Caenorhabditis elegans: one gene and its partner. The protein of the gene in region 1 interacts with the protein of each later gene in a biochemical or structural test. Each region holds a gene or a part of one and is shown on either strand. Other genes may lie near its edges.

Evidence for each region.
Region 2: the proteins of kca-1 (region 1) and klc-2 form a complex in vitro, tested with the Caenorhabditis elegans proteins (one study listed by BioGRID).

What each region holds. Positions count from the first base shown.
Region 1 is NC_003279.8:4,752,231-4,768,417, reverse strand, and holds kca-1 (Kinesin Cargo Adaptor), read left to right. Parts: upstream 1-7,096; 5' UTR 7,097-7,110; coding exon 7,111-7,635; intron 7,636-7,684; coding exon 7,685-7,873; intron 7,874-7,924; coding exon 7,925-8,434; 3' UTR 8,435-8,598; downstream 8,599-16,187. Other genes in the region: kin-35 (Protein kinase domain-containing protein), read left to right, coding at 3,278-3,340, 3,539-3,661, 3,713-3,883, 4,054-4,287, 4,339-4,726, 4,787-4,974, 5,025-5,177; viln-1 (HP domain-containing protein), read right to left, coding at 8,934-9,374, 10,061-11,062, 11,112-11,997, 12,050-12,194, 12,239-12,398, 14,547-14,669.
Region 2 is NC_003283.11:5,572,413-5,588,599, reverse strand, and holds klc-2 (Kinesin light chain), read left to right. Parts: upstream 1-9,095; coding exon 9,096-9,213; intron 9,214-9,265; coding exon 9,266-9,582; intron 9,583-9,633; coding exon 9,634-10,553; intron 10,554-10,603; coding exon 10,604-10,712; intron 10,713-11,338; coding exon 11,339-11,497; 3' UTR 11,498-11,863; downstream 11,864-16,187. Other genes in the region: CD4.11 (MAM domain-containing protein), read right to left, coding at 2,104-2,209, 2,626-2,708, 2,756-3,047, 3,373-3,418; pas-6 (Proteasome subunit alpha type-1), read left to right, coding at 4,266-4,415, 4,462-4,654, 4,704-4,774, 4,824-4,953, 5,004-5,242. UniProt on the Caenorhabditis elegans protein: Kinesin is a microtubule-associated force-producing protein that may play a role in organelle transport. The light chain may function in coupling of cargo to the heavy chain or in the modulation of its ATPase activity.

The DNA of each region.
Region 1 (16,187 bases):
ATGTAATTCATTAAATGTAATATTATCCTTATCTGTAAATAATTATCATGATCAATAAAATATCGCTCTTAATGTTCAATGAATAGCTTGCAAACCAATTTGTACAATTATTTCATTGAACAATTTCCGCCGGCTCTGAAAAACATTTCATGGCAATTTTTCAGGTTATCTTATTCGAATTTTTTAAATAGAACTCGTTCTACGTTCTTTACTTCGTCTCCTCTCGTGTAAATTGTTCTTTCCTTGCAAATAATCGATTTTTACGCGTCCCCTTTCCGTGTAAATTGTTGTTTCACTGCGAAAAATCGATTTTTTAAAAATATTTTTCTTTTATTCCGCGAAAACGACTCAAAAACCGAAAAAAACAATTCAAATTGAACTTTTTAGAGTCGAAATTGATTTTTCTCCCCCAAAAAACGATGAAAAAAATCATCATTCAAAACCGTGCGGAGGTTGCAGAAATGGGCGTATTGTAAGGCACGGTTCTGTGGGCGTGGCCAATCCCCCGAGTTGGGAATCCCCCAGTTGGACATCCCCCGAGTTCTTCGGGTCTCCACTCGACGGCAGTTGCTGATGAGCTTTTTTGATCGACGTTAGGGCGATAGAAGTTTGTTGATAAAATGAATGAATAATATAGAGAGCCGTGCCGCCAAACCGCAAGTGTCACAATTTACGTGCAAATGTGATATTTTAACGCAAAACGCAATAATTATTAAGTCCCAAATTTTTCCTGCGATTTTCTGCTAAATTCCTAGTTCTGAATTCGGGTTAAACAGTCTGATATATTCATGATTATAACAATAACAAAAACGAACATAATAATAAAAATGGAGAACGCAGAAAACCAATAAATTGCAAAACAACAACTGATATTAGAATTGACGACGACCACGGAAACCGCCTCAATCTCCACCTTGCCCACCACGGAAGCCACCACCTCCGTCACGTCCTCTGAATCCTCCTCGGTCGTCACTTCTACGGAAGCCACCACGAGCTTCTCTTCTTCCTCTGAATCCACCTCGGAAAACACCACGACTATCCTCATATCTTGGACGCTTCGAGGCTTCAGTTGTTCCCCATTCCTCGTTGGCACGCTTCAGATTTCTGAAAATATATCAAATTAGAAGCATTAAATTATTGAAATCTGTACCTCTCCCGATTCATCACAATCTCTCTATCCTTCTCCGTCTGATTTTCAACTTCTTCAACTTGTCCAGTAGTAGCACCTTGCTTACGAGTAGCATTCTCTCGAATTTCCTTCACCTCTGTCTCCTCAGCATCCTGTTGCCCCTTGACAATCGTACGTCTTCGAATAACCCGTTTTTCGCTTTCCTACACACGGTGCTTCTTTAAGTGCTTCTTCTTGTCCATATAAACTCTCAGTCTTAACAGTTCGTCTAGAGTCTTCGTAGTATGCTATAGAGAACTTCTCCCTCATCGATTCCTTCTTCAATTTCGACGAGTTCCAGGGTCACTCGGGGTTCGATGGAGCCAATGTCGGGATGGTTTCGGTTATTTGAAGCGATCTCCTCAGTAGAATGTGGTGTGAACCGGCGTGTCATCTGGAAATCATTAAAAATTAGGAGCGAATATTTCGAAAAAAAAAAATTTTCCCAAAAATGTGTCGATTTTCCACTGAAATCGAACAAATAAATATGAGATACGCGAGCTTGAGTCGCAATTCTTACTAATTCAGAACAAGCATGTTTTTCTTTATATTTGAGTGCAGTTTCAAAAAAAATAAGCGTCAAATTTTTGAGAAAACAATTTTTTGTTCAAAAATGATCGAAAAAGTGTTGATTTTTCGCTAAAATCGAAAAAATAAATATGAAATACGCGAGCTTGGGTCTCAAATGTTACTTTTTCTGGTTAATCATGCTTTTCTTCATATTTGAGTGCAGTTTCAAAAAAATTAAGCGTCAAATTTTTCAGAAAACAATTTTTTTGTTCAAAAATGATCGAAAATGTGTTGAGTTTTCGCTAAAATCGAAAAAATAAATATGAAATACGCGAGCTTGAGTCTCAAATCTTTCTAATTCCGAACAAACATGTTTTTCTCCATATATTATCGAACAAACATGTTTTTCTCCATACCGAATGCAGACATGCATTCGCTACGACGGCACTTGCTGGACCTGGAAAACTAGACTGAAGTAATGCTCTTATATTGGAGAGGTGGGAACCAGAAGATCCTTACAATATTTAGTAAAACAACTCACTTTTAGACGTTTTCCGCCGTTTCGCGGCTCACGCGGTCGATTTTTGCGGCGATTTAAGTCCTTTTACTGAAAATATTATTTTAAATTCAATTATTAACGAAGAAAACAAGAAAAAACGACGAAAAAACATAAAAAAACATAAAAAAACACGAAAAAACAAATAATCGATTTTTACGCGTCCCCTTTCCGTGTAAATTGTTGTTTCACTGCGAAAAATCGATTTTTTTGAAATATTTTACTTTTATTCCGCGAAAACGACTCAAAAACCGAAAAAAACAATTCAAATTGAAGTTTTTAGAGTCGAAATTGATTTTTCTCCCCCAAAAAACAATGAAGAAAATCATCATTCAAAACCGTGCGGAGGTTGCAGAAATGGGCGTATTGTAAGGCACGGTTCTGTGGGCGGGGCCAATCCCCCTAGTTGGTAATCCCCCCAATTGGACATCCCCCGAGTTCTTCGGGTCTCTGAAATTCCTCTTGGGGAATTCAAATATTTTTTCCCGTCTTTTTTGAAAATTTTCGAGGCGTTGGTCGAGCTGAATACACGTGAGAATTGGCGGGCAAAAATTAAAATTCAATATTACGCGCTGTGCATTGGGGCGCGTCTGCATTTAATTGGGTACGGTATTGCGAAAGCTGGCAGACCTAGTCGATTTTTTGGTCGAGAATATTTTCAAATTTAGCCATTATTTGAAGTTGGGAGTCGAATAAAATAATTTATTGAAATAAAAAAGGCGTTAGTTTTCTAAGTGGAAAATCGTAGAGCAGACCTTGATCTTTGCCTGCTGCACAGTGAAATAGGTATTTTGTAGGCAAGTAGGTATTTAGGTATGTTTTTGCTTGCGTGGAAGTTTCAAATTGAGTGCTGATTCATTAAAATTTATGAAAAAAAAAAAGAATTTCACGTGCTCTAATTTTTAAAATCAATTTTTTAATTTTTGTTCGAAAAGGGCAATTCAAAAATCTCGTGTTTTTCTCTACTCGAAAATCGTCATTTCTGAAGTTTAGTTCATAATTTTGAAATTCCAAGCAGTTAAAATCGATAAGAAGCTGTTGTCATGAGTGAAGAAGACGATAAACCGGATAGACAAGTGGAAAGTATTCGGTTGAATATTGGTGAGGTACGGTATTCTCGAATTATCCTGACTTTAAGGTGCGCGTGTTTTCTGAAGGCAAAATGGCCTTCCACGATATGAGTGACGTCACACCATGTGGCGACTGGGGCCGCGAAAAAGTTGGTGGCCGAGCTTTTAAGGCCAACCTAAGTTTATTTAAGGACTTACGAGTAGTTTCAAAATTGTTACGAAAATGTTTTTCAGGAGGTTGTAGAGGAAAAGAGCGGGAAACTTGCGTGGCTCACAATTCGCGAGTTGGGTAGAGGTGCATTTGGTACTGTGTACCATGTTTCAAACAAGTCCACAAAACAAGAAGCTGCACTCAAGGTATGTTTTAGAAGAGCAGAGAGCAGATATGAAAATAAGAACAATTTTTAGATTGAGAGAATGACTGCCGGAGACAATTTACTGAAGATTGAAAGAGAGATCATGGTGGCAATGCAACACGAGCCAACTGCAATTCATATCTATGACGATGGCATTTACAAGGATTATAGATACATTGTAATGACATTGTGTGGTCCGGATCTGCAGAAAATTGCCGAATTGGTAAGATTTTAGTTGTGGAGCTTCTCTAATCTTCCTAGATCTAATTCCTAGAGCTTCCTAGACCTATACTTATAATTTGACTGAAGAAAAGAAAAATGACTTTAACTCATGAGATGTATAAATTAGAAAGTTCAGAGATCAACGCTGAATCTTTAACTCATTAATTCCAGATGAACAATAATTTCAATCAAGATACCATCATCCGTGTATGCATTCGAACTCTTCTTGCTATCAAAACAATGCACGAATACACCTATATTCATCGTGATCTAAAGCCATGTAATTTCGCCGTTGATTTCAACCCAAATTCTCTTCATGTTTATTTGTTTGATTATGGAATGGCTAGAAAATATGCGACGAAGGATTCCGGTAATAAATGGCAATTGCGACGTCCGAGAAATCCGGTTAGTTTTTCATGGAAGATTTTTTCGAGTTTTAACATTTAAAAATTTCAGGCGCAGTTCCGTGGGACAGTGAGATATTGTTCTCTGAACATGCACAAACGAAAGGAACTTTCTCGTGTTGATGATCTTTGGTCATGGTTCTTCATGTTAATGGAGATGTATGCACCACTTCCATGGACATCCTCGAATATTCCAGAACGGATTGAAGCTTTGAAAGAAGATCATTTGAATGAATATCTTTCAAAAGATTCATTTCTTAGCTCATTCCTTCCACTTGTTGAATATCTCAATTCTGTGCAATATGCTGATCGTCCGGATTACATGAAGATCTACGACATTCTCTATGCCAAGTTGACGGAGATCAATGGAAAATTGTCGGGACCCATGAAATACGATGTTGCCAGAATCAATGCTTTGGTTGCTGAATTGGGAGAAACTGGTAAGTTTGTAGTGTCTAATAAATAATTTTCAAAATATTTAAAAAAAAATAAATTTTCAGCTCGCCCAAAGGAGTTATCCCGCATGGATGATGAATCCACCATTCAGAAGTATCTTTTGGCGTCATTCGGGAGAGCCGGAGTTCCTGGTGGCAATAATTTGATCATGGCAGAGTTGGTGGACTTCTTCGCCAAGGACGTACCACTCAAGAAGGCACGGGAAGAGAAGACGGATGATAATAAGAAGCAGGTACTTGGGAATAGGAAAATTTAATTTTAATTTTCAATATTGCATTTCAGAAGAATGCAAAAGTCAAGAACAAGATGCTTGGTAAGCCGAAACAGCCAGGAAGTGGTGGAGCTAATAGTGGAGATGCAAAAACTGCACAATCGAAACTCGGATCCAAAATGAGTACACATAAGAAAGCAAAGGCATCGAAGAGAAACAAGTGATTGGAACTAGACATTTCATTATCAATAAAGTTTTATGTGTTCTTCTGTTGTCTTATTTGTTGAGAAGACAAACTTCCATTGAAAAATTAAAGGTTCCAAAATGTAAAGGTGATGTAGTAATATTTGAGACTCTGCTCAAAAGCTTTTTATATGATCTAACAAGGCAATGTGCATAAGGGAAACATCACAAAAGTCTCCCAGAAAGATGTTATGATGTACAAAGTTCCAAATACTACTCTTTTCCTCGATCTAATTTGAATTCCGCGTGCAAATGATTTTTCAGATTCTCGGCCGTGTTCTCCTCTCGGGCAATGAACTTAAAAAAATTAAAGTTTCGGAGTTTATGCGATTCTTCGAATACTCGCATGATTATTTGTTTTTTCTGTTGAAATTTCAGAGTTTAAAACACATTTGATTTATTTCTAGAAATAAATTACTGGAAAATCAACAAAATACGGGATTAAATTTTAGCAACTTAACTGGATTTCAACTAGAAATGAAAAAATACCAAAGAAAAATGTTCTGAGCTCATGTAATTTCTTATAATTTTTTAAAACAAATTGGGAAGATTTTCGATTTTAAATCGATTTTTCATTGTCGCAAATATTGAAGGAAACTACAGTACTCTTTTAAAGACGCATGTGCCAAATTTTCCGGAGGTAAAGTCGCGCCGAGACCTGTGCAATGAAAGGCGCGTATTTTCGTATTTTCGTATTCTCATTTCACTTTTAGCCTTTTTGAATCACATTTTTCTCTTTTTTAGGATTAATTTTCGAAGCTTAAACTTAATTTTTTCGAAAATTTATTTATTCAATTTCCTTTTTCCACTTTTCCTTCCTTTTTTCCCAATTATATTTTCTCTTGCAGCCGTTCGATTCCAAATGGTTCGACAAGACGCCGGAGTGATGATCGGAGAAGATGCTCTGTCCTACTGCTCAGGGCAGAGCACTTCCGATTCATCATTTCGAACAATGAAATCGACTTCATTATCGAGCTCCTGGCATTCTATGGCATCTCCACACACTTCTGACGTACAAGGCGTCTCGTTCTTCCGGCCATTCAGCTGGTTTGTATGGCGTCAGACTGAGAAGGACTTGAAGAAGAAACAGGACAAAGAAACTGTCGATGAAATAATGAAGTGCTTCCGGAACAACGACGTCGACGGAATGGAGAAGTTTGTTGAAAAAAAGACTCGCGAGTCTGTGTCGTCAATGAAAAACGACGAGTTTTGGTGGGATGACGACGAGATTTCGTATTGGAAGCATCGAACTACTCCAGCACAAGATGAGCTTCCTGAGGATCTAATTTGAATTCCGCGTGCAAATGATTTTTCAGATTCTCGGCCGTGTTCTCCTCTCGGGCAATGAACTTAAAAAAATTAAAGTTTCGGAGTTTATGCGATTCTTCGAATACTCGCATGATTATTTGTTTTTTCTGTTGAAATTTCAGAGTTTAAAACACATTTGATTTATTTCTAGAAATAAATTACTGGAAAATCAACAAAATACGGGATTAAATTTTAGCAACTTAACTGGATTTCAACTAGAAATGAAAAAATACCAAAGAAAAATGTTCTGAGCTCATGTAATTTCTTATAATTTTTTAAAACAAATTGGGAAGATTTTCGATTTTAAATCGATTTTTCATTGTCGCAAATATTGAAGGAAACTACAGTACTCTTTTAAAGACGCATGTGCCAAATTTTCCGGAGGTAAAGTCGCGCCGAGACCTGTGCAATGAAAGGCGCGTATTTTCGTATTTTCGTATTCTCATTTCACTTTTAGCCTTTTTGAATCACATTTTTCTCTTTTTTAGGATTAATTTTCGAAGCTTAAACTTAATTTTTTCGAAAATTTATTTATTCAATTTCCTTTTTCCACTTTTCCTTCCTTTTTTCCCAATTATATTTTCTCTTGCAGCCGTTCGATTCCAAATGGTTCGACAAGACGCCGGAGTGATGATCGGAGAAGATGCTCTGTCCTACTGCTCAGGGCAGAGCACTTCCGATTCATCATTTCGAACAATGAAATCGACTTCATTATCGAGCTCCTGGCATTCTATGGCATCTCCACACACTTCTGACGTACAAGGCGTCTCGTTCTTCCGGCCATTCAGCTGGTTTGTATGGCGTCAGACTGAGAAGGACTTGAAGAAGAAACAGGACAAAGAAACTGTCGATGAAATAATGAAGTGCTTCCGGAACAACGACGTCGACGGAATGGAGAAGTTTGTTGAAAAAAAGACTCGCGAGTCTGTGTCGTCAATGAAAAACGACGAGTTTTGGTGGGATGACGACGAGATTTCGTATTGGAAGCATCGAACTACTCCAGCACAAGATGAGCTTCCTGAGGATCATAAATACACTCCACATCCATCGAAAGGATTCAAACTCCCTCCTCGTGTGTTGAAAGCAGTCCGATTCGAATTGGATAACACTCCGGAAGATCGTCAGCCACGGGTGAGAATATTTATTTTAACAACTTTATGCTAATTTTGTTGTTTTACAGCCGTTCACACCACTTTACACCAGCACGCCGAAGAATCCTGCAATCAATGAGGACGGAAGTGACGACGAGTACAGCTTGGTTCCATTGAGATATTGTGACTCCAACACAGTCGCTGTGCCAGCTGCAGTCTTCAACAACACTTCATCGATTCTACTTGATAATGCTGTAATTATGACAACGTTGAACAAGGTAAATTTCTTGAGTATATAATTTTATTGAACTAAAATCTTATTTTTTTAGAGTCGAGAGGAAACTAATGAAATTCTGTGCAAATCATTGAACAGAGATTTCTACCAGCTGGCCTATGTCGACTCGGAAGACGCTGAGCAAGACCACGGAAAGCCCGAACAATCAACTCAGAATCCCCTTTGCAACACATATGTCGTTCATTCGTCAGAGGAAATGTCATCTGAACCAAGCAGTTCGACCATCAACCTAGATCAAGCCAATGTTTCTGATGATGCGAGGAGCGCCATTCTGGGATTGGATCGTGTGGAAAATGCCATTCAGCGTGCACTTGCCAACCAGAATGGGCCAGAACAAGGACTCGCTAGGCAACTTCGAGAGCGCATCCAGAGCATCAAAAAGAGCATCGACGAGATCTGCAGCGAATGTCCGAATGGCCCGGAAATCGACACTGATCGTGTGAGCCGGGAAAGTGACCACGACGTATCCGCCGACTTCGAGGATTCGGATTGGCAGCCGCATTTGGAATCCGATGTCGGAAGTTTCGACGAATGCATGCTGTAAATAATATAAATTTATATTGATTAACTTGTAAAATACTCACCCATCCCGCTCGTCTTAAGTTTATAATTCCATGTCAAATATTATTATTCACAAGTGATCACATGTACTATAGTTTTATTGCAATATATTTTATTCTCGTCAAAAATAAAGACGATTATCACTTTAAATTTTATTTTGAAGGCGTCACTGTTGTAGGTCAGAAAGAAGCGGAAAATGGATTTGGATAAGCCGAAGTTGTACACTTACGAATGCTCCATAGCAATTTTTCCATATTTATTCACTGAATCATGCATTACATTTACTTTAAAGTTTCTTTTTTCTATTCAGATATTGCTCTTCATGCTATATTATCTGTTTAGTATGTAGTAATCGAAATCCAGTTAAACATTACACGCTTTTATTTATCAGGCAATCTATACAGGAGATAAAATGGCAAGGTGATAATACAGTAATGACGGTTTCACCGCCTCTAGTGAGTCAATATAAATAAAAAATATGTTCAGAATAGTCCAACTCTTTTCCGTGCATCGTTCTGTTTCCAAGTTTTTTGAGCATAAAATTCGCTTCTTTCAATTTTAAAAACTTTCATAAAATCGTCGTCAGTCAAGTAGCTCTCCAGACGTCTCATGTCCATTCCAGCTGGAAGACTTGTTCGTTCTTTCAGTTCTTCGAGTGAAAATGTTCTACAACGTTCTTTGAGAAGATCCGAAACATCGCGTGGTGGATCCGAGGGCTTGTCATCTTCAACTTCGAACATCTCCCATTTCATAAAAAGTCCTTTAAACTGCTCAGGTTCTGCTCCTTTGTACACAACTTTTGCTGGTCCGCTGCGATCTTTCCAGTATTTTTCAGCGACTTTCAGTGCAAATGTAGTAATAACTTCTTCTGACCATAACCAAAGAGCGTCTCCAACATCAATTAGAATGGTTTCTTTCAGGACCTGAAAAATCACAAATCAATATCGTAATTTGACCAGATTTTGGCATGCCTTCTTAAAGGCGCACGAATTTGTTTGAATGCGTCTCGACGCGAGAAAAAGTTTATGGTAGTTTTTTTCTTTGCAGTTTTAAATAAATGTCTTCATTTTTTCAGCGAATTTTGTCGCTTTCGTTTCATTTGTGTGATAAAATTGATTCAAATCAGTTTTCAAACCACATTTCAACTTTTTTAAATGGAAAATTTTTTGAAAGTTGAGTTCAAAAAATTAATCTGAAAAATGAAGCGAAAACGACAAAATTCGCTAAAAAAACGAATATAACCCAGAAGCTAAATTTTTCGCCAAAAATACGGTACCCGGTCTCGACACGATACATTTTAGTTAGCTGCAAAAAATGTGCGCGTTTAAAGAGTACTGTAAAATTAAACTTTTGTTGCTGCGGAATTTTCATCGATTTCTTTTAAAAGTTGTTCAATAAAAACATGTTTTAACAATTAAAAAAATTGATTTTTCCAAATTGAGAAAAAACTATGAAAAATCGATTTAAAAAATTTCGTAGCAACAAAAATTTGAAACTACAGTACTCTTTAAAGGCGCATACCCTTCTGTATTCAGCGTCGTGTCGAGACCGTGTACCGTATTTTTAGTCAAAAATCGCAGAATTTGAAAATAGATTGAAATTCACAAACCTGTTGTGAAAAAGTGAATGCACAATTCTTATGCCCACTCAAATGATTTACTTGCTCCGACTCATTATCAAATAATCTCCAAACTCGCATCGCCCGTTTTCTTCCATTTGAATTCACCCAGCTCCGCGACTTTTTATCACCTTCTACCTCAATTTCTGCAGAATTTCCCTTCACTCCTGCCTTCTGCCTCATATATTCAGCGTGTGCCAACACAAAATGCACTTGGTCTTCAGTGCAATTTGCTCCACACACTACACTTGATGGGCCAAGAATGTCTTTTTCCACTTCAATATAAGCAGCATGAGATCGAAGCGGCGAATTCAAATCATCAATTTCTCGAAGACTAGTTTCCCGGGAGTTCGCGCCAATAACCACGTATCGTCGGAGCGGCTTCATCTCCGAAATATCACTGCTAACCATGAATTTTCCATCGAAAAGTGCCAAGAATAACGCAGGCTCATTTCCATCAGCAATTCGGATTCTTGGACTATTATCTCTATCAATTTCCTTAATTCGTAGAGCACAAAGACCATGTTGTTTTGGAGTTGTGTGCTCGCCGAGCCAATACCAGAATGCGATTCTTGATCTACCAGTTTCCCGTTCTTCTTCTTTTCCCGTTTTAATCCTCCGTACTCCTGACTTTTGAATTCTGTATTTCCAACGAAGAACATAGCATCGTCTTGAATCAAAATGCTCCGTAAATTCTTCGATACTCTGCAGAACTTCTCCTCGGAGCACCCAAAGTGATCGATCCTCGCTGATTACATCATGAATTTTTCTATCAATCTCTTGATCTTCTAGAACTAAAATTGGATCCAATTCTTGCTCCTGGAGCATTCGTTCCACAAGATCAGCCACTTCATCATCTTGATTCACGACCTTCACATCTTCATACGTCTTCACTTCCGGATTCTTCTTCGAGATCAAGGCTCTAGGTTTACAAGTTGTCAAGACTTCACGAGTTTCAGGCCAATCCGAGAATTTTGCTTTGAACAGAGTGTCCTGAAATTAATAGGAATGTTTTTTTTTTTCAGAAATTTTAGACACTCACCAGAACTCCCTGATGAATTTTTCTTGAAAGCGTCCATTCTGGTCGTCCATCTTGATCAATAGATTCTGCATCTCCTAGAATAAATTTCCCATTTTTAACAGGCTTCTTCATAAGTTGTTTCGCATATTCTTGAGCGTAAGCTGAGCTAACTTTATTCGAATATCTACCCGTCCAAACGTAGATTTCACTTCCAAAATCAAAAATGAGCACTTCACTTGGTTTCATGATTTCATAGGAGAGCCGTTCCCGACGTGAACATGTTTCAGCAGTGTTATCGCCGGCGATTCGAAGTACTAAATTCAATTTGGCAACTGTTGTTTCGAATGGCTCCACTGATGATGCTTGATGATAATTATTATTCTCACTTGAGGATTCAGAATTTTCAGAGCAAAACAAGAGCTTCGACAGGGTACTTCTACTAGCTCCTGTCACTGTTACAATCGATTCTGCAGTGCAATTCAAATCTGATTTTCCAAGAATTTCAATGCACAATTGTGATGCTTTAGTTTTCTCCAGAATATTACTGTACAATCCTTCATACTTCATGAGATGCTTCTGATGTACAACCACAAAACATGCAACTTCATGAACAGAAGACATCGCGGGTGCTACAAGTCTCACATCGACATTCTTCGATCCTCGAACTTGAATTAACATTACATCTGGATACGGAGACACTTTTGTTGGGCTTTTCAAAAGTTGTTTTGCTCCCTGAATTGCTGCAATTGCCTGCTCCTGAGTCTCCAGCTTCTCAGGTTCTTCCTCTACAACTGCAAATGCTTCTTCGTCGATTTTGACAGCGTCCAAACGGATTCTTTCATCGAATGTCGATGATTTGTCGGATTTCTTTCGATTTGGAGCACGAGGTCGAGTCACTGTTTTTAAGCTGAAAAAATCCAGTATATTAAAGTTTAAAACATTTTTTTTGATACACTAACACTGGTGTTGCTTTTGAAGATATCGCATCCAAGTCAATATCATTCGAAGCAGTAATTTCAGAAATTTTCGGTAATGAAGAAGATGCTCCGGATGTAGTTGGATTGCTTCCGAAGAACTTCTTGAGCCCACTAGTGATGTCGCATGCTGAAAATTATCAATTTCAATGAGTATGTGCTTGTGAATCTCACGTTTCTCCTGCACAACTGGAAATGATTGTGGCCGTTGTTGTTGCTGATGTAACTGCTGAGCACGCTGGAAGATCGGAAGATCCTGAAGAACGTTCGCACTGGTTCGTCGTTGCTGCACAGCTGGCTGGCGTTCTGGACGGGATTTCCATTGCTCGGCGCTCTGAAAATGTTGGAATTTGAAGATGAAAGAGACGTTGGTAAAAATAATATTTTTTGTACTTTTTCGGCGCGAAAATTATTTGCCAAATAGGATTTCTAATTTTTCCAAAAATATTCTTCAATATTTATTTTTATTTTTTTATTTTTAGTGAAGCATTACCATCGTTTTGAGAAATTCGATTGTTTTGTGTTTTTGGTCAAAATTTCTGTTTTGTGATAGTTTTTTTTTCAAAAAATCGGAGAATTTGAAATTTTCTATTTTTTTCCGACTTTTGATTTTCCGATTTCCTGAAAAAATTACAAATTTTCAATAATTTCCGTTTTTCGGTTTTTTAAATTAAAAAAAAAATTATTAAAAGTGATCTAAAACTTTTTTAAAAAGTCTTTCTCTAAAAACTCACCAATCTAAAAAACATATTTATTCTTCTTTTTTTCAGAAAATTCATTAAAATTTGATAATTCTTTTTTTTTGTAAATTTTAAGATAATTTTTCCGAGTTTTTCGGCAAAAACCGTAGGATCTAATTTCTAAATTTCAACGACTAGCGGGCCCTGCGGGCCCGCCAGTTGTAGGGGGTGTAAGGCGAGTCCCCTTGCCGGGCGTAGGCTCTCGGCTTCGCCTCGAACCTGTTAGAGGGTTCGTCAAAATTTCAGTAGGTCAATGGGAGTCTTCTTGTTTTTTGAGTTCGGTTTGACCAAAAACAGACGCACCCGATGAATCAGTTAAAGCTGAGTTTTGATTGATTGAAGTTTGAGGAGGCTTTATATTAGGGGAGACGTACCCATATTTTGTATAAAATTGAGTATTTCTATTCGAATCCCGATTACTCACAAAAAACAAAAAAATTTGTCACTTGGTAGAATTGAACCAACTACCAAAATTTCTGCAATCATACGCACTAACCACTCGGCCATGCGGAAGACATCTCAAACTGGGATGTAGGGAAGAAAATTTTCTGGAGGAAGTCGTCTTTCGATTCCGCTTTCTTCAAATATGACTATTTAGGGAAAGACGTTCGAAAACCGTTTATCACTGATAAGCCAGCGGGAAACCTAATTTTTGAAAATTTTATTACAGGATTGTACTCATTATTGAATTCCCGAAAAGGAGACGTACAGTTGAGGGCTATATCTTGTACACAGACAGATGTATAGAAGAAAACAAGTTTTGGCCTGAAAATTAAAAAAAATAATATCTCTTGGCAGAGCATTGCTAACGCCACGAAACTTCATCTTCCATTAGATAAAATCAAAAACTATGAATTAAAAATATATTCCGCGAAACTTTAGTGGAAAAAATGTTCAGGGGACCCAGGAAACCACTCCCCCCAGTACAAAATTTTTGAATTATTTTTTTCTTGAAAAATTTTCCCACTGAACTTTTTACAAATTTTATATGTCTCGATGCGTCTTGATGAGACCTACGCATTTTTTAGAAAACTAAGAAAACTTGAAAACTGACCGAGTTATGATTGAAAAAGTAGATTCGCAAAAATGGGAAAGTGTGCAAAATTTTGCACTTATTCGTCTTGCTCGGCCGACTCATAGAACTTTTCTCAACTCTGAGTTAAAAATCGTGTTCAGCGTACTTTTTTACTCGGGGTAAGCAAAAAAATATCAAAAAAGATAAAGTAGAACTTGAGATAAAGACGAAAAACGGCTTTTTACGAAAAAAAATTTTTTTGGCAAAATGTCACTTTTTGGACTTTTGTTTTATCACAACTTTTTTCCATTTGCACTTATAAACTCAAACTTTTTTTCAAAAAATCAGTCTCTCTGAGTAGTATCTTGCACAGAAATTTGGAACAAAACCGAGCAAAACCCGAATTTTAATTCAATTAAAACATGGTTTTTTGGGGGTAAAAAGAGCAACAAAAAAATTTTTCAAACTGGGGAAAGCCGTCCTGGGCTCAATTTTGCTCCGAACTTAGTGCCGTTTTCTGCTCCACTGTGGGGCAAAATATTTCTAGTAGGATTTCAAATATTAGAGCATGAAGTTACACGGTTCAGGAGTTGTGAATGAAAACGAAGTGGGACATTTTTTCGCAAGCCAAAAAAAGCGTCAAAAAACGCGAAAAAGGGGCGGAGTCGCCACACTCGGCATTTATTAGAGGCTGCTTGGCAGAAATGTAATAAGTAGAAATACTCACATTATTCAACGAAGCAAGACGATCCTTGAGACTGATCTTCGCAATCGGAGCCACCTCTACATTGTTCTTCTTTTCAAACGTCGAATTCTGTTGAATCAGCGACTTTTGCAGTTGTGCGATCATCAAATGATCTGAAAATGAGAATTTAATGTGATGAATGAATGTATATATATATAAGGGCAATAAACTAAACAAGTGTGTCAGATTTAGGCAGCAGAGGGAGGCAATTGAAAGCAAAACGACTGGCGCACGCGAGTGATGAAAATGAAAGAAGGGGGCGGGGTCATGATGAGGTTGTGTAATAAAAGAGAAAATCAGAGATTGGCAGGGAAAAGGCTTATTATCACACTGGAAGACTTTGTGACTGTGTTAATGTGAAACAAATATTCAGAATCCCAAAATAGGAAGATATTACCCACATTTTGTAGCACCTCGTCTCAACGCGGCAGTTTTTGTTAAATAAAAACTGGTGTGCGCCTTTAAAGGGTACTGTAGTTTTAAAAATTGATTGATGAGGAGTTTTCATCGGCCATTAATAATTTCTTTTTGTTGAAAATATATTTATTATTTTTATTTAATTTTTTAAAAAAAGTATATAGAAAACTATCAGGTTGTCCCATAAGTTTTTGTACTATTTTTTTTTTGAAAAAAATTTATTTCTCTCAAGCGACAAGTAGTACTATTCACACAAGTATTCACCATTAGTGTCCACCACTTGTTGCCATTTACTAGGTAACATCATGATGCCACGGGAGAAGAAATCCGGCGAACGCGATGAGAAGAAAGTGGAGAGTTCAGTTTTGAGATGCTCTTCGTCGTCGAATTGCTTGTCGCGCATGTAGTCACTGAGAGACAAGAACAAATGGTAGTCGGTTGGTGCAAGATCTGGAGAATATGGTGGATGCGGTAAAACAGTCCAACCAAGATCTTGCAGCTTTTGGAAAGTCTTCTTGGCGACATGAGGCCTAGCATTATCGTGAAGAAAATATAGTTTTTCATATTTTCCGTTGGTCTTTTCTGCAACTCGGTCCAATTGGGCACAATAGTAATCAGCAGTGATAGTTTTATTAGTTGGCAACAATTCCCAGTGCACGGGTCCTTGAACACCCCACCAGACACAGATCATAATCTTTTTTGGGTGAAGATCAGGCTTTGGCGTCGGTATTCCTTTCTCACCGATCGGAAGCCATTGACGTTTTCTGGAATGGTTAACATAGAGCACCCACTTCTCATCTCCAGTAACCAGATTGTTCAGCCAATCGAACTTTCGACGAAAAGTTAGAAGTTGAGTACAAACGTTGACCCGAGTGAGCTTCTGTGATGCCGAAAGTTCATGAGGCACCCAAATTCCAAGTTTTGAAGTAAAACCAAGGCGACCCAAGTGACGTGCAATTGTGCTATGACAACACTCAAGCTTCTCTTCCATTTCACGAAGACTAAGACGAGGCTCTTCCTCCACCAGCTTCACTAGGTCTTCTTCATTTAACTCTACCGGTCGCCCAGAACGTTCTATTTCTTCGAGACTGAAGTCGCCGTTCTTGAACTTTTGAAACCAACTCTTTGCTGTATTATAAGAGAGTGCTCCCTCACCCATCGCACCGCATATGTTTCGTTCCGCTTCCATTGCTGAATGACCAAGAC
Region 2 (16,187 bases), on another chromosome or scaffold:
GCCATTCAAGACTTAACCTACTGCCGCAGTCCATGACAGAAATACCGTGATAGAAATTATTTGGATTTTTGTTTTTAAAGAATCTCTAGACCAAGAGCATTCTTTGAACTATAAAAACTTGTAAGACACTTGATGGATTCCTCGAGAAAAAAGTAGAAATCCCGCAGAATGCCGACTTGCGTGCCATAAGGTCGTGATCTCAAAAGTTCTGAAGGCCTGCAGCGATGCGGATGGGAATATTTTGAAAATTCAAAACGTTCATCTGGTAAGTATTTTATGGAGAACAAAACTTGTACAAATTGATGTAATAACTCTCTCCACTAGTAAAGTTATAGAGCTGCAAACGTGTTACCATACTTTTGGCCCACCCTGTAATAGAGGAAATACGGTATAAAACTTATAACACTTTGTGAAAAATTCAAAACATCGGTCAAATTTGTGATGATGTGTAGAGGACGGTGAATGTGATCAGCGACGACAAGCACCACAGGATAATAACCCATCAACACCGGACCGATGATAAGATATTGAGAATTTATGGTCTTTATGTATAAATAAGTAATGAAGCGGCCGACACAATCTGAGAAACTACGAGATAGTTCAAACGGATCTGTCTGATCACGGATCATTGGATCAAGATGATTATTGCATCTTGCGGGTGTTACTTTTCGTAATCAACCGAAATGTTTCGTTTTAGTTTCGACACTAATCGTGACTTTGGGAAACCGCCAAACTAGGTGAACAATCTTCACACGTGGTGTCAGGCTGTCCCATATCAGCTTGGTCTACAAAAAAATGCGGGAATTTTTTCCCAGAAAAATGTGACGTCAGCACGCTCTTAACCATGCAAAATTGGTTAGGATGTATGTGTCAACTTTTCGAAGATCAAACCGACATGGGACATTCTGACACCACATATCTTCATTTTATTCATTATCAACCTTTTTGAGCAATTTGGAATGTGAAACCTTATAAAATTCCAAATTCAAAACCTCAGGTTTAATCTTGTCTTGTGAAATGCACAAATAATTCCTTCCTTGCAATCAGAGAAACCTATGTACTATAGTGGTAAATTTCATAGATCATGAGAAAGTTATAGTTTACAAATTATTCTAGTCCTTCTGAGAAACCAAATGAAATCAGTTCATCTTTCCGGTTAGAATATCGTTGAAAAAGAACAAAACAACGGTCAAGTTGGTGTCGATGGGAAGGGGTTGTATTCTGTTAGGAACACGGGTTTGGCATCACAAGGACACCGGGCTCTCCTGCAAGCAGAAGAATTAATCTGGTAACCCATCAACTCCGGACCGATGTGAGAGAATGAAGAATTGGCGTTGCTTATATACCCGCTCACGGCCGAGTGGCAGACATGTTCATGTGAAATGCAGAGAGACAGCTAGCGATTGCAATTGTGACAAATTTCGTAACAAGAAAAAATATCTTACTTTCACCCGAACATGTTTGCCGCTCGGCCGTGAACGGGTATATAAACAACTGCGATTCTCCATTCTCTCACATCGGTCCGGAGTTGATGGGTTACCCAGTCATTCTTCTGCTTGCAGGAGAGCCCGGTGTCCTTGTGATGCCAAACCCGTGTTCCTAACAGAATACAAACCCTTCCCATCGACACCAACTTGACCGTTGTTTTTGGTTTTTTGAAACGAGAATTCAATAAGGATTTAAAATTGGTTTCTGTTAGTTTTTTTTTGGAAAATCTAGTTAAAAGTTAACCCTTTCATGATATGAACACTTTATCACTGTTTTTCTGTTTTTCAGAATGAATCTTGCAAGGGTCAAAAGCTAAATTGGATATGCAATCTCGGTTAAAAAACCATAAAGTTTCCGATTTATCGGTTTCAAAAAATAATTTTTATTGAAAAAAGTATGGTATCCGTGATGAAACTTACCAAATGTAGATACATAAATTTCAAAGTTTTGTTTTCTAATGAGAATATAATAGGGATTAAAAATCGAAAAACTAGAATCCTATTTCTTATTTGCTTTTTCAGATGAATTAGTTAAAAGTTAACTTTATCAAGATTAAATTAAATTAAATTAAAAGATCCGAGATTTTACAACGTAGCTGTGAACTCGAAGACCTACTCGAATTTCACTTCAGCATCTCCATATTGACATGGAATTTCCATTTCAATTGCAGCAGTCTGTGGAAGAATCATTGGTTCGCCGCCAGCCAGTAGAAAATTGTTGTCTGAATTGTTATGATTAGTTGAAATCAACTGGTACTTTTACCCAATTAAAAAGTTAATAATAAATTTTTTTTTTAATGTTTAAATGATTTTTTGAAAATAGGAAAATGAGCCAATTAAAAATACTCCTATTCAAACATTGTAGGGGTTCGGACATGCGACAGCGATATAGTTTTCTCAAAAAGTGGCAAAATCTAAGTGATTGCCACTTTTTGCATGTCAATGAAAAAATCTAAAAAATTTTTTGGAACGTTTTACTATGATATTTGGCCATTTTGGCATCATATGAGCGTTAGGATTTTTTTTAAATACAGAATTTTCAAACTAACATCAACCAAAACTTTTGCTGAAATTTTCAAATTTTTCAATCTTTTTGGAATGTTTCAATTGATTTTTAGAAACAATTTGTTCCTCTTACCTGGTGTGAAACTCAATGGACTTCCAGAGTCAAATCTTTGCGAGTCAAAATTATTATCTGAGTTTAACTTTGATTTCCAGAATCTAAAAATAGTAATTTTTGAAATTCTATTAAAATTGAAAAAAAAAACTTCATGTCAGTGTCCGCTGCATTATGCCATCCACAATATTCCATATCATCGTCAAAATGACATGTAAGCTTTCCACCGTCGGATACAGTTAGCATTGGTTTCACAGGAAATGGGGTAAGAGATGAGATCGAACGAATTTCAGTTGCGGAGTACGGTAGATTTGATGTGAGGTAGTCAAAGTCAATTGCATTTTCACTTGTACGTTGTAGGGATGAGACTCCGCGAGCTCTGGCTCTTCGAGATGAAAATTGACTGTACTGAGAGCTCAGGGAGTGACAAGCAAAACTGGTATCTGAATTAATTTGAAGGTCATATCTAGCTAAACTTTTGATTTGAATTACCGCGCTTTTGTCTCTAAACCACACCTATTTTTCTGTGCCGCACTTTGCATTTTTACATTTTAGACGCAAAATGGTTCTAATCCGTGTTCCAATTTTCAATATAGAAAAAGCCCTACAAAATGAGCGATTTTTCTAAAATCCCAAAAATTAAATTTTAAATTTTGAATAACCTCAAGAGCGACCATTAACAAATTTTCATGATTTTTTAAATAAAAAAGGACAGAAAAAATTTGGTAGAAAAAAAGATTTCAAATCCAAAACTTTTTAAAAACTCACTCAAACCATAAAGTAGCAATATCAAGACATATATATTAAGTACCATACTTCATGAAGAAAATAGTTTGAAAACATATAAATTTCGATTTCAAATCGCCTTTCTCAAAGTTCAATGAGCGTGTGGTATTGCGTACTCCCGAGAATGAATATGAACTACTGGTAAATTGCCTAATTAGGTACGGTGTTTCACTGTCGAGAGTCACAAGAGAAAGTGGGTCAGTGGGTAAGAAAAGTGAATGAGAGGAAAGATATTTATTATTCAATAGACATGATTGAAAAATGAAACTAGAGATTTTCAAAGACAGAGCTTTGTAGTATAGCCTTGCCAGATTTAAACAGGAATTTCTAAGATATTGAAGTCAGGGAATCGGCCACCACCATCAGTAGACAACATTTTAAATTTTAAATATTCAATTCCTCAAAAATTAGATTCAAAATTTAATTCGACGTTTTCAATCACGTTTTCGCAATTTTCGTTCAATTTCGTGTAATATTTACTTGTTCACAGTTCTCTTCGTGGATTTTGAGTGTCTTTTTTTCGAAATTATTTTGAGGATCTTACGCAGTTTTCACCAGAAGAATTACATAATTCCATGGAATTCCATGCCTGGAAATTTCTTTCACTTTTTGCCGCCAGGTATACGGTAAGCAATTGCGCGTAAAGTGTGGTGTATGCGTACTCGCTTATTTTGTCATCCTTTCAAATTTAGAACTCATTTCAGAGGTTTTCTTTCGACTTCTAAATATTTTTTCTTTGTTTCTGTGGATTTAAATAAACTCCATATGTTTTTCTAACTCTTGGTTCATCTTGAATCACACTCTCTGCTTATAAAACTGCAAAAAATGGCTAAAAACTTCAATAAATTGTAATTAAGAGCTTTTAGGTTTGAACCATGTTCCGCAACCAATACGACGGCGATGTAACAGTCTGGAGCCCACAGGGACGTCTTCACCAAGTCGAATATGCCGTTGAGGCGATGAAGCAAGGTTCGGCAACTGTTGGAATCAAGAGTGAAACCCACGCTGTCATCGTCGCCCTGAAGGTTGGCGAAACAACATGTTAATTTCAATTAATTATATTCGTTTCAGAGAGCGCAAAACGATTTGTCGTCTCATCAGAAGAAAGTGTACGAAATTGACACTCACGCTGGAGTTTCCATCGCTGGTCTCCTCTCCGATGGTCGCATCTTGGCTCGCTACCTCCAAACCGAGTGCTCGAGTTGGCGTTGGGATTACAAGCAAGCGGTTCCAATCAAGAAGCTCGCTGAATCTATGCAATTGAGTAAGCGAATTTTGGAAGCAATTTTCTCAAGACATTGTTCTTATTTCAGAACTTCAAGCCAATACACAATATTATGGCCGTCGTCCATTCGGAGTTGGAATTCTGATTGCCGGATATGACGTAAGAACATCATAAATATAATTGTTCTTTTAAATATTTTTTTGTTCAGAAAGATGGAGCACACATCATTCAAACTGACCCATCTGCTGAAGTCGTCAGCATGCATGGAACTTCAATCGGAGCAAGATCTCAGTCTGCGCGCACTTACCTCGAGAGAAATGTTGATAACTTCGAGAAATGTATTTATTTCGGAATATAATTGATAAAATTGAGCAATTTCTTTTTTCAGCAACTCCGGAACAATTGATTGTCCATGCTCTCCTTGCTCTTCGCGACACACTTCCAGCCGAAGAAAACCTCAACGCTCAGAATACGTCTATTGGAATTGTCGGGAAAGATTCTCCATTCAGTCTTCTCGAAGATGCTCAAGTCGCCGTTCATCTCAACCAAGTTTCCACACATCCACGCACAACTGGCGGAGCAGCAGCAGCAGCAGCTCCAGGTGGCGCCGAACCAATGCAAATGTAGATTCTAATTTGAATCACAGACCATGTGAATTACTTTCGTCTCCATTTCTTTTTTATGTGACCCGTATAATTTATCGCCGGTTAATCTCCCTCTCGTTCCCGAATTAAATTATTTTCCTGCTCCAAAAGATTGATTACATATTAATTTCCTTTTTCCGTTCAACAGTCATGTATATGTTGCAGAAAGAACATTAAAGGAAGCACTTCTCGTCATTCGCGTCCATGCCTTCTGTCCATTAATGATGGATGTCTGCGCCGTAGTACACCACGCACCCGCCGTCTTCCGCTATTCCCCGGCGAGCTGCTCCACGGCATTATTCCATAGTTCTTCTCTTCAGTGTTCCATACACTACTACATCACTCAAATTGTAAATCAGCGAAGAAAGGGGAGCAAAAGAAGAAGAAGGGGAGGAGTGTGTGTGATGCAAGAGAGAAGAGTTTCAAATTTCGTCGAATTGAGATTGAAATCTTCTTTGTCGCAGTCAACTCTTTTCTTCGACCCACTTCTGCCTTTTTTTGTTTTTCGATTGGAGCTCTTGACAATTTTTATACATTTTTCTTCATTTAAAAATCCACAAATAGGTAAAAAAGGGAAGTAGGATTTACGGATCTACTGGAAGTTGTTTTTCTAACAAGCGGTTTTGCTTATTATGATCACGAGCAAAACCAAAAATGTTTCCCAAGCGAACCACAATCAATGCCCGACACCATTGTGTGTGCCGCTTCTGAATGAACTGAATAGAATTCTCTCGTTTCTTCCACCAATTCTTCTTTCATTCCTTGTGCCATTTGTCTGACAAGCGAAGAGAGAAAAGAAGAGCGCCCTTAAATGAATTTGTATCGAGCCAATGGCATCGGAGGGCCATGCGGCTCTGTGTGGCGTGCGTTTCCTCACTTCAAGCACTGCCGCCACCAGCACCAGCACACAATGTTCTTTTCGGCAGGAGGCGAGGTCTATTCAGCACTTTTTCTTCACTTTTAGACCAAGTTTTCGAACACTTTTGCACCGAGTGCACACATTGATTCGTGGAAATGATTTTTTTATCCTTGAAATTGTTTTTCTGAAGAAAATATATCCTGTAAATTTAAAAGTTCAAGTGTTTATTTAAAAATAGTCAATTTAATTTTGGAAAATAAATTTTTTTTAACTGCAAATAAGCTTGTTCGGTCGACTTATAGGCTGATTTACTCATAAAAATTTCAATTCAATGGAAAATATTATTCATTTTTACTTAGACGTCTAAAAAAATACATTTTATTTTTCTTTTATTATATTTAAATTTATTCAAAACATGGTGCAATAGAAGCACGAGCTACAGTAAGTTGCACAGTATGCCGGAAATTGTTTTCTTTAGACGTCTATTATTTTTTCGTGAACAGTCAAACCCCGCTTTAAAGGCACACGATCTTTTTCTGAGTGGGTCTCGACACGATCTCAGCTATAGTGATCACAACAAGTTCCAAATTTCACAAAATTGCTGGTCTTACTTTACGAGCATACTTCACGGGCAAATTTGAGCCAAATAGAAAATTTCTGATTCCCAAAAACAATTTAATATGCCCTTATTATGTAGATGTTTATAAATGGGCATTTCTGTCGAGGGTTTCGCCACGAGAACAGCGAGTATAACTGTATTATGCAATAGTGGCTCATAAATCGACACGAGCTACAGTAACTCCTTGCCCGCGTGGTGAGACCTTGCGCGTAAGATATGGCGAAAATTATCATTTACAGACGTCTACGTAATACATGCTGAACCAAAATATTGTTCGATATTTGACACTAGAGATAAATAACCGTTTTTAACTATAACAAACAGGCCTAAACTTTGATTTTTTGGTAGAAATATATATGCTTTATACATGCACCTCGTAATAAAATGCTATTTCCTGAACTTTTCAAACTCTTTAACTCCTTCTTCTGTTCATCATAAATCTAAACTGAAAAGTTTAAGACACTAATCCTGGAGCCGAATACGAAAAAGTGCTCGTGGAAGCTTTCAAGCTGGATACCATCATGAATTTGGCCGGTTCTACTATTCAGGCATATCGCCAGTAAGTTATATTTTTAATTTGAAATGAGAATTGGAATTTAGAGTGTTGAATCATTTTCTTATCACATGCATTACTCATCAAAAAATGTTTGAAAGTTATTTCCGCTAGGGCTGTAACAAAAAATGTACAGTACATTCTAAGCGGATACCCTAATTTTCAAAAAATTTCAATTTGCATCTACCGTAAAATAAAAATAAAAATCGAAATCTACTTTCCTAGTCCTCTAATTCAAAATTGCAAGATCTTATGACAAGTTTTCAGAAATAGTGAATATATGAATCAAAACTCTTTGCCCAAATTCTAATAATTCATGAGAAGTTTATGTTAATATGTTTTATTTTTTGGTTTTTATATTTTCTGAAATCCCACCTTTCTCTTGAGAAACAAAGCAATTTCGATACTTTTTTGCATATGAAGCTAAACAAATCCTAGATGTATTCTTCATAAAAACTCAGGTGTCCAAACATTGCAATTAACTATGAAAGGATGCATCTTTCCAATTGTTTCGCAATTCTTTCTCGCCTCCGTCTCTTGCTCTCTCATTTCCTCCATGTTGGACGGACGATCAATAGTTTCTATGTTGTCTCTAATATTTCTATGATCTCTCATCAGTGGCTGCGCACGTCTCGCTGTCTATTCGCCGACACGACGAGAGCGGGCTTTCGGTTAATACAACCAAACACTCTTTCCGAACAACGTTATGTTTTACTTGTCCACACTTTATTAGCATCTTTATGTTCAGAACCATTTCTTATGAGCTTTTGCAGGAGAGAAATTATTAGAAAGTTAAAATTTGGTTTCATTTCTGCTTATATTGCGAAATTTGTACCTATAGTGTTGCACATATTTAGCTTATCTTTGACATATTCCAAAAAGTTTCTCAGTTTTCTAAAAGTTTTTCCAAAATTGTTCTAGTGCAACTCAACCTAGCAAAATCAAAGAAATATATTAGTTCTACCACGAAATGCTATTGATTTTCAAAAATTATAGCGCATAGTGCAGCCTTGATTTTTTCAAATTAAAAATTTCAAAAACCGAGTAAATAAAAATTACAAATTTTTAAAAGAAAATATCAATCCACGATGATTTTTATTTTCTCTAAAACGTGTTGAACATTTGGAACATTTTTGCTTTATTTCAACTTATTTCAAAGCAACGTTTCGGTGTAAAATAAGTTTATCGTTATTTTGTGAAAATGTGGAATGTCATTTTAAAGGCACATGCGTATTTTCTCAGGGGGTCTCGCCACGATCTCCTGTATTTCAATAGCAAATGGCAGGGCTGTTATTTAAGACGCCCTCCTCAATCTTTGAGAGCTCATTTTGGCGTTTTTTTTAACTTCAGCCATAAAATTGAAACTGGATAATATTTACCTAAATAATAGATTTTCCAAATTCTTGCACCAAATAGATCTATGGTATAAAACTGTCAGGCTGATTTTCAAATTTTTGCATTTTTTAGAATTCCAAAGTGAGCAGTATTCATGGAAAAATATTTTTTGAATCTAGTTCTACGTTTTTGAGAGAATGCAAGATTTTAATTAATTTTTGTTGTGCCATACTTTGGCATTATTTACATTTAAAAGAAAAAAAGGGTTAATTTTTTCTGATAAATCTGAAATTAAAAAAAAAGACTATCGCAAAACTTATTGAACGACCTAATAGCTATGATCTACATAGATTCAACTGTTTTTACTCACTGAAAAAATTTTCTCGTTAGCTACCAACACTTCTCGAACTTCTTCCAATTACATTTAATAGATTTAAAATTTCAGGCGAAAAATCGAGTCGCTGGCGAAAATGTCAAACATGTCGCAGGACGACGTGACGACGGGCCTACGTACCGTTCAGCAGGGACTTGAAGCTCTTCGTGAGGAACACTCGACAATTTCGAATACTTTGGAGACTAGTGTCAAAGGTATGGCTTTTTTTACGACGAGTTGAACATTTACTAAAATTCAATCATTTAGGTGTGAAAGAAGATGAAGCTCCATTGCCGAAGCAGAAGCTTTCACAAATTAACGATAATTTGGATAAGTTGGTGTGCGGAGTTGATGAGACATCGTTGATGCTGATGGTATTCCAACTCACTCAAGGAATGGATGCTCAACATCAGAAATACCAAGCTCAACGGAGACGCTTGTGCCAGGAGAATGCGTGGCTTCGTGATGAGTTGAGTTCAACTCAAATCAAACTTCAACAGTCGGAGCAAATGGTTGCTCAATTGGAAGAGGAGAACAAGCATCTTAAGTATATGGCATCAATCAAACAATTTGATGATGGAACTGTAAGTTGAATTTTTCGAGGAGCATTCTTAACTTATTTTGTTTGTTTTCAGCAAAGTGATACTAAGACATCTGTCGATGTTGGACCACAACCAGTCACAAACGAAACTCTTCAAGAACTTGGTTTTGGACCAGAAGACGAAGAAGATATGAATGCTAGTCAATTCAACCAACCAACACCAGCCAACCAAATGGCGGCTTCTGCTAATGTTGGATACGAAATTCCAGCTCGTCTTCGCACACTTCACAACTTGGTCATTCAATACGCCTCCCAAGGTCGTTATGAAGTTGCAGTTCCATTGTGCAAGCAAGCTTTGGAAGATTTGGAGAAAACGAGTGGTCACGATCATCCAGATGTTGCCACAATGCTCAATATTTTGGCACTTGTCTACAGAGATCAGAACAAGTACAAAGAGGCTGCAAATCTTCTGAATGAGGCTCTCAGTATTCGTGAGAAATGTCTTGGAGAAAGTCATCCAGCTGTTGCCGCCACTCTCAACAATCTCGCAGTTTTGTTCGGAAAACGTGGAAAGTTCAAGGATGCTGAACCGCTTTGCAAGCGTGCTCTTGAAATTCGCGAGAAAGTTCTTGGAGATGATCATCCAGATGTGGCCAAGCAACTCAATAATCTTGCTCTTCTTTGCCAAAATCAAGGAAAGTATGAAGAAGTCGAGAAGTATTACAAGAGAGCTCTCGAAATCTACGAGAGCAAACTTGGACCTGATGACCCGAATGTGGCAAAGACCAAGAACAATTTGTCATCTGCTTACTTGAAACAAGGAAAATATAAGGAGGCTGAGGAGTTGTACAAGCAAATTCTCACCAGAGCTCATGAAAGAGAGTTCGGACAGATCAGTGGAGAGAATAAACCAATTTGGCAAATCGCTGAAGAACGAGAGGAGAACAAGCACAAGGGAGAAGGTGCAACTGCCAACGAACAAGCTGGATGGGCAAAAGCCGCCAAAGTTGATAGGTATTATGATTTTTATTAGAAAAAAATAAATTAAACAAAACTGATTCCAGTCCAACCGTCACAACAACTCTCAAGAACCTTGGAGCCCTTTACCGGCGACAAGGAAAATATGAAGCCGCCGAAACATTGGAAGATGTCGCCTTGAGAGCAAAGAAACAGGTATGTAATGATGTTTTTTCTGCATTCATGGCTTCTCTATCTAGCACGCTTTACTGCATTTAAAATACAAAAGTTCAGAAAAAAAATTTAGAAGTTAGATATTAATGTTGTAAAATGTTGTATGCGTCCCCGATACCCCAGTGACAAGAATTTGCTTCATATTTACATGTATTTTTGGAACTTAAAACATTGACAACAGTTGTTTCAAACCAGGGGAGTGCGTCAAATTTGCCGAATTTGCCGGTTGCCGAACTTGCCGGACACGGTAAATTTCGAAAATTGCCGCACACATCAAAAATTCGACAATAAAATTTTGACCAAAACTATGTTTCAAACTAACCCGAAAATTAGATGCTGCCTGAACAATGTCTTGCCAACTTTTGAACCAAAATTGGCAAATACTGAAATATTGCACAAATCTGAAGCTCATTCAAACGAATTGTTTTTTAAAATTAAAGTTTAAATTTAATACGAAGCATATTCTTGTCCTCCCCAAGCCCCCATCAATAACAATTCCAGTAACAAAAAAAAACACATAAAACGCTTATTTTTGTATTTTAGTGATAGTGATGTGCTTTAGAATTTGGTCACTCGTTTCCTCTTTTCAGTATTGTTTCCTCTTTCAGCATGAGCCATTACGAAGTGGAGCGATGGGCGGAATCGATGAAATGAGCCAGTCGATGATGGCTTCTACAATCGGTGGATCCAGAAACTCGATGACAACGAGCACATCTCAAACTGGATTGAAGAATAAACTAATGAATGCACTCGGATTCAACTCTTAAGAGCATCTCTTTGCAGCACTGACTGAAAACCGCTTATCGTTCTTGTATTAATAAGTGCTCGTTGATTCAAGTTCCAAATTCTGAAATTTTGTCTCAGATCTACGAAAACTTGCTTTTTTCTTCTTTCGTTGTGTTGTGCATGATTCTTTTTTTTTTGATTGATTTTTCTTTCTGCCCCATCCCCTCATTCACAAAATCTTGTTCATAAATAATAGGGTTGAATAATTGAATGTTTCCTTGTCCGCCCCCACCAACTTTTTGGTAAAGCTTTATATTGTCTGCTTCGAATTTTCTTTTCAAGCAAAAAAAAAAACATAATTATAACAAGCTGAAAAATCGTGTTGTTGTAAATAAAGGGTTTATTTTTGAATTCTGCTTGTTACAAGAAAAAGAAAACTTCAATTTCAGATGTCCGAATCTCGAAGAATGGAACGATCCGTTATGTATTGATTGTTGCTCGACATTGTACTCCGTCATCAAGCTTTACACTTCTTCGCAAAATTCCAAAAGTTTACAAGTTCTCATTTATTTATATGTATCAAGTTCTAATTAAACACTGCTTTTCTATTTTTGTTAGCTATTCGCATAATAACATTTTTTTTTAATTATAAAAATGTGAACCCGATTAAATTGGAAAAACGTTTCGAGAAAAATTATAATTGCAAAGATTCATGATATTTATTCAATAAGACTTGAAAAACATTTACCCTGATATTCAAAAAATTAACAAAAAACAACGGTCAAGTTGGTGATTATGGGAAGGGGTTTGTATTCTATGAAGAACACGGAGAGATTAACATGAGCGGTACCAAACCCTGGTACCAGGGCTTCCTGCTGGCAGGAAATTGTCAAATTGATAACCCATAATCTCCGGACCGAAGTGAAAACTTTAGTAGTCAACGTTGCTTATATACCCAACGATTAGCAAGCGACCGACGTTTCGAAAGAAATGACAACCAAACATTGGGCGGAATTTCGTAATGTTTGCAATTTGAGGTGTAGTGGTGTATAGCAGTGGAAAAATGATTAGAAAACTGTAGTAGGCACACAAACTCCAAACAAGTCCTGACGTTGCTGGAGTTGACAATTTTCTGATAACACTTTTAAAAAACCGGGATAAAAGCGGTTAACGTAGAGGAAAGGGGGAGCAAGGCTAATGTGGAAAACGGTATATGCTTAGTTAGGGGTAGCCGACAAATTGTGGAGTATGTACTACATCGACAAAAATAAATATCACAAAGCTTAATTCAAGAGATTATTTCGCTGAAGTATTCAAAGCGTCGAAAAATATTTTTTATTATGGTGACATGAATTTATGATTTAATTTTTTAAAAATATTTTTTCTCCTTTTAAAAATATGAAACCCACTCCAATAATATTTAGGTTTTTCAAATTTTTAAAGAAATAAATTGTAACTTTTATTTAAGAAATTGCGAGGCGCGTTTAAATCTGATACTCAAATGCGTAAAAGAAAATTGTAATTGAAACAAAAAACGTGTAGAAAAACTGTGATGTTAGATCATTTCACTCGGGAATCGCTCGCCCACTATGGGGGAGTCTACGCAAGGACAACGCAAGGACAAGAACAACATTCTAATGGAATGGAAACGATTGCCCGACTGCACCAATTCTAGTTCAAGCGAACAATGATAACTTTTGTATTCTGTATTCCTTCACGTCTCCCAGCGAGCGTAATAAATTATTATTATTATTATTTCATCATTATAGGAAATTTTTGAACTCTCCTCTGTTTACAAATACCAATTTAACAAAGACTGTATTACTGTTTCAACAAGAAACAAGAGCTAAACGTCACGCGTAATGACCGTCTATTTCTCTTTCTCAATGACTAATGCATAGAGTGCCATAGATATGTGAGAAACTGTTTTCAAAAAGATCAGTGAGATCCAGTGATCTCGTGGGAGGGCACTCAAGAAACTGAGAACTATTTGTATATAAATAGAGCGAGGAATGTGTTGTTTTTTGTTCGTAAACCATCCCTCTCGCCAGTCGACACTTTCCATGTACTTTGCTCTTTCACTGTAATAGATCTTTAATCAACATACATTGTACCATTTTGCAAATCCACATTTCGATATTTGTCATCTTTGCTAGATTGTTGCACGAATGAGAAAAGTGTATCTTGTCTTGTCCTTTTTGTGTGTCGGATATGCTTTCAAGTTACACGCCACTTCAACAACAGTTAGACAGGGGAGTAGTCAAGTGACATCAAAACTTATCCAAACAGATTTTGATTTGTGATACCACTTGTATGATTTGGCTCTGATATAAAAATATCATTGAAAAGTCACGGAGAGTACCTTTTTCTCTATTCTGGTTACCATCAGTTGCTCCTAACAACTGGTCATGCTTCATGCAAATTCAAAATGAAAGTCTAATGTAGGCGATATTTTGGCATTTTTTCAAGCATGTAAAATGATAAAATGTAAGGTTTCTCAGTAAAGGCTCTCGCCAAAAAGTAGAAATGTTAAAAACGTACGCAATAATATCGTGGCAGGCACTTTCCATGCCTCCGTGACATCATCATGCCTGCCTACTTACCAGGCGAAGGACGCCACGGTAGGTATTCTTTTTGACAATTTTTTGAAGATGCACATAGTTGAATTAATTTTAAAAAATCTCGGTACTAGTCCTGAATCACCCCGCCACTTTTTTTTTTATTTGTGTATTATTTCCCCTCATTTTAATATTATCCATTTTAATAAAACGTGATGTCCATTTTCCATCTTTAGGCTTAGAAATGGTTATTTCCTAAGCCTAAAAATACAAAAACTCCACACGTTTTTATTTGAAAAAAAAAGAAAAAAAGTGGCGGGGTGATTTAGGACTAGTACCAATATCTCTATCATCTCCAAAGCTAAGCTTGATTCTTCTTTCCAAAAAAGTTTCCAACTAGTTAATTTCAAAAATATTTTAAATAAATATTTTTTAAAAATTAAAGATTGTTCCCCATCTTAGCTGAAACTCACACATTCGTACTAAAACGATTCTAACTTGGCAATTTAAAGCGAGTTTTTACCAAAGATCCAGTAAATAAATATCTCTGGAAAACCCTCACTTTTTTTAATAGAAAATTCCTTTTGTTTTTGTTTACCGTCATGAAAAAAGAAAAATCCAATTGTTCTTCAATTTTTTTCTCATTTTCTGGCCAGTATCCTGTCCATCAAATACGATACATTCACTTTTGTAGCATCAAATGAGTCAAAAAGACACACAAATCTATCAAAGGTGATATACGGAAATTCATTGCGTGCTTCTCGGTCTCCAACACTCTCCTTTTCTCTTTTTTTTTGCTCCAAATTCGTTCATCCTCTCTCCCTCTCATCAAATAACGACTTCCGTGAGAGCTCACATAAGCATAATTCAAGCGACAGGAGCTGGATGAGGAGGAGCACCTTTTCTCGTCTCGAGGCTTTCAATCTCATTTCTTTTTTCATCAACTAGAAGTCTGATTCGGACCCGAAGATTAGTGAAACGGATTAGTTGAGACATATCAGACGGCTGTGTACTCAGGATTTACTATATGAATGGGTCATGTGGTTTTGTAATTTCACACATTTTTTTCAGCAGAACCTTGTTCTTCCAGTTTTCACTAGTATTTTCAGCAAAATGATTGGCTTAACTGTGATGTACACTTTAATTTTTTCAAAATGACCAAAGCTTATAAAAAGACACCTAACAAATTGTAGATTTTTAAATTTCCAGTCAAAGGTTTGGTAAATTGCCAACATTCGAGTTCCATTATTGTTGTGCAATTTTCAAATACAGATTAAACCCAAATAACCAAGAAAGATACCCCGAAACTCGTTGTTTGATAAATTACGCACTATGTACTTGGTTTTATCGTGAGAACGTGCATTAGATAGAGAATAAATTTACATATATTCTCATCAAATATTTTCACTACCAGCATCTTTAATGATCATATCTTCTCAAAATAGCATAGCACCTCTCATGTTGCTCGAAATTTCATGTTTTGAAATTTTTCGTTTGCTCTAACAAGAGTGGTCTTTTTGTGGGGATACTGTGTGAAAATCAGGCCTGTCGTTTTTTTTTTACTTAGACCACAAATAAATGTGAACCTAGAGCTTATTTTAAGGTCAAATACTGAAAAAAAACAGAAATATCTTCCTGGGCATTTTTTTGATTATCGTAGTTGTTGATACTAGGAAAATTAGCGCTTGCGAGAAATTTTGGAAAATTATTAAAAAATACTATTTAAGTTTATGCACTTTCTCGGCACTTCTCCAAGCTGCAAGATAAGCCGAATTTTTCCAAACTCCAATTTTCGATAGAAAACAAAGTTGACATAAATCTCATTCACTCTCAAGGTAGTGTTCAATGCTTATATTGTCCAATGTTGCGAGGTTCCTGATGGGCACACCAAAAATTAACTGTGATTACTTCAAGGTTTTCCAGAGCACACCTTTTTAACTTTTAGCTTACTTTCAAACATGATAAGTTAGATTTATCCACCTCGTAAACTATTTTTTTAATTCAAAATAACTCTGCAACAATTTTGGCCTGGTTTTCTATATTTGAGTTCAACGAGTTAAATTAAATTCGGACTAAAAAAGGCCACCTCAAACATCCAAAGCCAATTGTGACTCATATTTAAATTATTTAGTTTTTATTTGATCTAGAAGATTTCTTTCCCCGCCATCCCTAA